Cricetulus griseus: one gene and its partner. The protein of the gene in region 1 purifies or fractionates together with the protein of each later gene. This does not show direct contact. Links are inferred from orthologs where the notes say so. Each region holds a gene or a part of one and is shown on either strand. Other genes may lie near its edges.

The links.
Region 2: the proteins of Abca1 (region 1) and Nr1h2 purify together in Homo sapiens (affinity purification with western blotting; 3 studies listed by BioGRID and IntAct, with this or other methods). This does not show direct contact. The link is inferred for Cricetulus griseus from reciprocal best matches to the Homo sapiens genes ABCA1 and NR1H2.

The regions. Positions count from the first base shown.
Region 1 is NC_048595.1:90,700,648-90,704,462, forward strand, and holds part of Abca1 (phospholipid-transporting ATPase ABCA1), read left to right. Parts: intron 1-509; coding exon 510-686; intron 687-1,084; coding exon 1,085-1,307; intron 1,308-2,680; coding exon 2,681-2,902; intron 2,903-3,815. UniProt on the Homo sapiens protein: Catalyzes the translocation of specific phospholipids from the cytoplasmic to the extracellular/lumenal leaflet of membrane coupled to the hydrolysis of ATP.
Region 2 is NC_048599.1:153,424,128-153,427,413, forward strand, and holds the end of Nr1h2 (oxysterols receptor LXR-beta), read right to left. Parts: intron 2,978-3,286; coding exon 2,878-2,977; intron 1,648-2,877; coding exon 1,439-1,647; intron 1,206-1,438; coding exon 1,059-1,205; 3' UTR 674-1,058; downstream 1-673. UniProt on the Homo sapiens protein: Nuclear receptor that exhibits a ligand-dependent transcriptional activation activity. Binds preferentially to double-stranded oligonucleotide direct repeats having the consensus half-site sequence 5'-AGGTCA-3' and 4-nt spacing (DR-4).

The DNA of each region.
Region 1 (3,815 bases):
GAAGATAATTTAGATGGCTTTTATGACTGTTGGTTCTCTGTTAGCAGTTTGGAAGGAATTTCAACAACAAATCAGTAGCAGCAGCATGACTTGGCTAAAACTGCATTGCTGGGGACTGTTAATCAAAGGCCATAAAATATTAGTCTTTCCGTTTCAGCATTCCTGTTCAAAAGATTAACTGAAAGGACTTAAAAGTCAGGAGAAAGAAAGAAAAGCCTTTAGGGGGTCTCTGTGCTAGCCAGACACATTTTTATAAAAAGAAGCAGACAAGCGATAAAAGGGAGTGGGTAGTTGAAATTTTAGTATGTCTATCTGATGTAACGTTATACCTAAGGAGAAAAGAAAAAATATACCATAAGGAGTGTGTTCATTGTGATTATTTCTATTCAAGAATCTATGTATTTATCAATTGAAATAGGAATAGATTAAAAAATAGGAATAGTAGCCAAGGAAGTGTGTGGGAAATGTGGGTAATTGGATTTTCCAGTATGTCTATTGTTTGCTTTTAGGTACTGGGACCCTGGTCCCCGGGCTGACCCATTTGAGGATATGCGATATGTCTGGGGGGGCTTCGCCTACTTGCAGGATGTGGTAGAGCAAGCGATCATCAGAGTGCTGACGGGAACTGAGAAGAAAACGGGTGTCTATGTGCAACAGATGCCCTACCCCTGTTACGTTGATGACATGTGAGTGTACCAACAAGCCAGCCTGTTTTTTTATTAAACAAGCAGCTCCATGTGGAGTACATGCATGTTTCTGCACAGTGTGGGAGTGAATGCACGTCAATAGGAGGTGATTAGAGACCCTGACCCTTGGACTCTGTCCCCTCCTTTAGTGTTTAGTACTTAGTAAAGTAATTTACCTTTATTTTAATATTATCCCCACTATTTCCTAGTTATTAAAGTGATCCCCTAAAGAAATTTTGGATGGCTGCACTCTGTCAGCCAAGGTTCTCATCTCTGTCTACTGCTAATGAAACATTTGGTCATTTGAGAGTCCAGTGGGCCTTCCCTTGGTGACCCAAATGTAGTTTTCCCTCTAATATGCAAGAGCTTTTTTCCATGCTTTTCATCTGTGTCTCCAGTTTCCTTCGGGTGATGAGCCGGTCCATGCCCCTCTTCATGACCCTGGCCTGGATTTACTCTGTTGCTGTGATCATCAAGGGCATTGTATATGAAAAGGAGGCTCGGCTGAAGGAGACCATGCGGATCATGGGCCTGGACAATGGTATTCTCTGGTTTAGCTGGTTCATCAGCAGCCTCATCCCTCTGCTTGTGAGTGCTGGCCTGCTGGTCATCATCTTGAAGGTAAAGGGGCCTCTCTCCTTCCAGAAAAGCACACATTTACCTGCACCACACTGTACTTCAGGGTCAATCCTTAGGAGTGTTGGGTGGGGATTATTTTCAAGTTGGTAAAAGCAATAGTCAGAAGGTTATACTACAGTTTGGATGTCTGGAGGAAGAGGCTGAGGCAGACTTTGCTATATGGATATTAGTAGGGATCAGTATCTGGAGGGATGGAACATATGCTGGCTCATGCAGAGAGAGGAATTGAACCATGTCTCAACAACCCAGTGGGGTGCTCTGGAGAATTTATAGCTTGTCCAGGAGTTTCCCACATTGAACTGAGAAGAAGCCCAAATTCTTATCCCTAAGGCCTGACATCCTCTCTCCCATTTAGTCAGTCATTGGATGGGGCTCACCAGGGAAAGGGGTGTTCTAGGGCCTGGAAGCTCTCCTAGCTATGACAACAGAGACGCTAACATCTGGATGTCTTTTATCTGCAGACAGGCAAGCCCTCCCTTAAAGTGGAGTCTGGGCAGTGAAATTTTTGTCTCATACATGAATCTACTCTTCAGCTTTCTTAACTCATCGTTATTTCATACAAAGCTGCCTCTTATAAAAGTTAGTGTTTTCCAGCGGGGGAGGAAAGGGAGAGAGAGAGAGAGAGAGAGAGAGAGAGAGAGAGAGAGAGAGAGAGAGAGAGAGAGAGAGAGAGAGAGAGCACAAAGCAAGACAATGTAATATTCATCTTAATGCTAGCTATATATATTACTCCTGAGCACTCGCTGAGTAACCTTATAGTAACCCATGGAGTTCCCAGGGCAGGCCAGAGCCTCTCTAAATCGTGCCAGGATGACAGACCAAGATTTATTTGCAACCTGTTTATTTATACTCTGGTATCCAAGGGCAAGGACCTAAGCCTTGTACAAGGGTAGGGGTCCTGTGGGAAAATTCACAAGCATTTATGCATACATGAAGACTTTGTAGCTACCAGGGTAAGGTTAAGGTTGCCTGGCCTGTTTCTAGGTTGGTGGAGAGAGAGGATAAGTGGGCTGTTGTCCCACACAACTTTTTCTTAGGGGCAGTGGTTGTCCTTGAATGAGGAGAAGCCAGGTATCATTATCTCTGTGAGAAACAGAGAGCAATATTGTCCACTGAGATCAAGTAGAAGGTCCTGAACTTCGCACTTACCATAATTCTGCTGTGGCTTTTTTTTAAATGTGTAGTCTCAAGTAAGGTATTTCTCCTGGGTTTGATTTCTGCATCAGAAAACTGAACAGTGTGGTTCCCCTACATTATCTCTGAAAGAATTATGAGTGGAAACTAGCATTGAGATTACATGAGCGAGTGACTGGGCTTGCCAAGGTCACACATTTATCCAGTCTCTTCTTCTCCAGTTAGGAAACCTGCTGCCCTATAGTGATCCCAGCGTAGTGTTCGTCTTCCTGTCTGTGTTTGCCGTGGTGACCATCCTACAGTGCTTCCTCATTAGCACGCTCTTCTCCCGGGCCAACCTGGCAGCAGCCTGTGGGGGCATCATCTACTTCACATTGTACCTGCCATATGTCCTGTGTGTAGCCTGGCAGGACTACGTGGGCTTCTCCATCAAGATCTTTGCTGTGAGTAACGCTAGTCTTTCTCCAGAGTTGTAGTCCTTCCTGACCCCGACCCCTGGGGATTTGGCATTCACTCTGAACTCCTCTCTTACTCAATTGTTCCTCCTTCGCCCTTACAGTGAGCACTAGTTGGATTTGATTTTTGTCAGAGATCAGATTGTACCTTGAACATGTTGGATATAAATGACATTGGGGAATGTATTTAGTGTAGCAGTAGATACCACATCTACCCCTTGTCTTCTAGCTCTTTGGCCATAATAAGATCACAGTAAAGTCATGACCATGGATAGCTTGCGGCCACAAGTGGTTCATTTATGACTCGTCTTTCTTGTATCCATTTTGGTATTTGACTTAGGTAATATTTTCTGAACTGAATAAGTCTGAACATGACTTTCCCTCCCACAGATCCCTGATCAGGACATTTTTTCCTCTCGTGTGTAGGTGTGGTCTTTGAGCATGTGAGAATATCAGTAAAAGCCACTCACTAGCTGCGCCATGGGTCACTAATATTAGTAGGCTCTCAGCATGCTGCAGGTCCCTCAGGCTGAGTCTCATGGATGTCAAACCTTAAAGTAGCTCTTCTGATCCTGAATACTCAATGACTGATCAGGGAAAAAGTCTTTGATGTCACTATAGGAGGCTGAATGGGGGACAGGATTGCTGAGCCTTGGAATATCTTGGGAAGCATACAGTTCTAAAAGTCTCACCTGCTCTCATGCATGCATTTCTGAAATGTGTGTGCATAATGAGTGCTTATAAATGAAATCATTTTATATGCTGTAAGGGAGTCCTGTCTCCAAAGGGACTCTAGGAGAATACTTACATGCCTTATAATTGATGTAATTTGCAAATTCATCTTTCTCAAGGTGGAAATTACATTAGAAGAGAAAAATGAGAGAGACAGTGGCATTATCCT
Region 2 (3,286 bases), on another chromosome or scaffold:
AGCCCTGCCCTATCCTGCCCGCCGCTGCAGATACTCAACGAACCCTCCTGTTGAGCCCTCCGCTGACCCCACCGAGCGTCCCATTGCCCCTTTTCCTTACTCACCCGCATCAAACTGCTTTTCCCGCCACAAACTACGCCGCCGTGACCCCTAACCCCTTTGCGCGCAGGCCCAGAGCTGCGGCGCGCCAGCTGGGCCCCGCCCCTGACCGGCTAGGGCGGGCAAACCTCACGGCTCCCCCAGCCGATTCCACGCCCTCTCGCAAAGGGCCCCGCCCCTCCACCCAACTTGGACTGCAGTCCCGCCCTTCATGACGCTATGGCCGGAGGACACGCCCCCAGCAACAAGACGCAGTTGGTGATTCCCGAGCGCCCCCTGCGGGCATGCGGGAAGCTACCTGACTGCCTACCACCTCCCGCAGGCCGCAGGGTCGCCTATAACTTACTTCTGTTGCCCTACAAGTCCCTTCCTTTCTTGTTTATGACATTCATGGCCAGATGCTCAGTCCCCAACTTTGGAAGCCTGCCCCTAGCCAGGAAGGGCCCTCTCATCACCTTCCCCATAAAGCTCCTCTCCCCTTCCCTTCCAACCCTCTGACCTCCAGTGCCTCAAACTATGCTGTGTAAGGACACCACCCCACCCACAGTGGCCTGAACTACTTCTCACACTGGGCTCAGGGTTGGCTTGCATTCAGACTTTATTTCTTTGTTTTTGTTTTTTTTTATTAAATAAAAGAGGCAGAGGAAGGGGCCTGAGGTCTCCCTAATATGGGAAGACACCAGCCCTCACCTCTTTCCACTCAAGGTGCATGGCGTGGTAGGCTGAGGTGTAAGCTGGGTGGGAGGGCAGCTGGGGAAGGTCAGAGGCTAGGACCTGTGACCGTCACCCCTCCTGGAAGACTCGGTGGGTGGGGAGGGGCCTCCTGGTGCCAACTGCCACTGGGCTTGCGGCTGAGCCCCTCAGGGCTGGGCCATGACCATGTCCTCCCACCCCAGGAGGGAAGGCGAAGCGTCCATCTGCAAGAAGATGCCACCAAGCTGGGGCATGCATGGTGGCCCCTACTCGTGCACATCCCAGATCTCGGACAGCAAAGGAGGCAGCTTCTTGTCCTGGAGCCGCAAGGCAAAGACCTGCTCTGAGTGCACAGAGCTGAGGGTGCGCAGGCTCACCAGCTTCATGAGCATGCGTGGGAAGCGGAGCTGGTCCTGCAGGGGAAAGGAGGCAGACAGGTGCTGATAAGGGCACTGCCCTGCAAGGCCAGCTGAGTCCGCAAAGTCAATACCATGAGTGGTCAGCCCAGCCTCGAACCCAACCCGGAGGTTGGGGCATCTCTACTGACCTCATAACAGCCAAACGAGGGCACAGGATCGGCATGCCCGGGTGTGTACCACCTAACCCCACCACCAAGCCCCCGGCTTGGGACTAGGGGCTCCCGTACCTGCGGCCGCTTGATTCGCGTGTAGGAGAGGAGTGCCTCCACGTAGGGCTGCTGCAGGGCCTCCACGCGGCTGGGCTCCTGCACATTGGGCCGGTCTGCTGAGAAGATGTTGATCGCAATGAGCAGGGCATACTCGGCGTCGTCCAGGCCCAGCCGGCGCATGGCCCGAGAAAACTCGAAGATGGGGTTGATGAACTCCACCTGCAAGCCTGCAAGAGCAGTCCCAGATTAGCTCCACACCCCTCATAACACTTACGCCTGCTCCCTCCCAGTGTGGACCCTGTGAATGTCTGTTATATAGCAGCCACGCCACCAAGACGGCACCAACACCCTCCCCCTTCCCCCACACACATCCTGGAAGGTCCCGTCTTCTCAGGTCCCAGAATCTGTCTTGGTGAAGGCAGAGGAAAAGGGTATAGGCTAGCCCACACTGTAAAGACTAAGATATGCTAGGACTCACTCATGAACCACTATTTAAGTGTACCTACTATGTGCCAGGCCTTGGAGGAGAGTGGTTTACACACCACCCCACCCCTTTCTCTGTAAAGGACAACAAATTCTAGTTTGCCCTGGCCTACACAGTGAGACCCAATAAAAAACAAAAAAATCCATCTGGGCAGGTTCCAGGCAAACAAGGAGTTGTCACCCAGTTCCAAGCAAGGCATAGTTAATGCTAAGCCCTGATGCTGGACTGTGCTGATGGGCACCAACTCAGAACAAGGCAACCAGTGCTTGGGACAGAATGGACCAAGGCAGAGGAGCATGGAGGTCAGGTCCTGTCCTAGCAGAAGGAGTATGGGTGCTACCGGACTGGCACAGTACCCTGGACTGCTGTAAAGACACACATGTCGGGAGGGTAGTATCTGAGAGCCACCAGTCCTCGTAAGGATCCAAGCAGGAGTGGCTGAGCCTGGGGCCAGGCAGTGGAAGAGCTAGGATGGGATGCTGATGTCCTTCCAGTCCCATCTTCCTAGACCTGACTGCCTGGGGCTCCATGAGCTTCCTTCAAGCCTGGCTGCAGGGCTTTTGATCCTTACAACAAATACTTTTCTCCCCCACACGTGCCCTGCTAAGCTCACACAGGAAGGATCCTAGGACTCCTTGTATAGTAGACGGGCTGGAGCCTAAAGAAGGAAGACAAAGTTGGGAATGGATGCCTAAGGATACTGACAGTCATTCGGGTAGAAGTGACGGGATTCCCAAAGCTACGTGAACAAGCCTCTGTTCACACTGGATGGCAGTGGCCCACAGTCCCATCCTCAGGGAGACAGCCATGTGAGCTCTCCAGGACCGAGCTCCATGAGTCAGCCTTAGGTATAGGTGCTTCTTCCTAATTTCCTGCCAGAGTGCCAGGTGACAAAAATGGTCTTGCCAGTGCCCAACCTGGAGGTCCAATGGGGCAGAAACACCAGGACCCTGCGCCAGTGCTCTCCACAGACCTGCACGGTGGAAGTCATCCTTGCTGTAAGTAAAGTCCTTCAGGAAGGTGATACACTCTGTCTCATGGTTGTAGCGTCTGGCTGTCTCCAGCAACATGATCTGGATGAGACAAGGTATAGGGCTCTTCAGGTGCCCCAAAGTCAAATGTGCTAAGACCAACTGTCATTCCTCTCCCAGGCCGGATATCCCTAGCTTTCCTTCCTCAACTCTGCCACCCACTGTCCCATCCAAGGACACTCGCCTCACATAATCATGAGGTACAGGCTAGAGTTTTGACTCTCGGCACTTAGAACAGATCTTTGCATACAGCTGACAATATTTCCTCACTATCCTTGATTTGGCTCAAATATCTATTTCTTTGAAAAGTCTTGGGGGAATATTTCCTCTTTATTTTATTTATTTATTTAT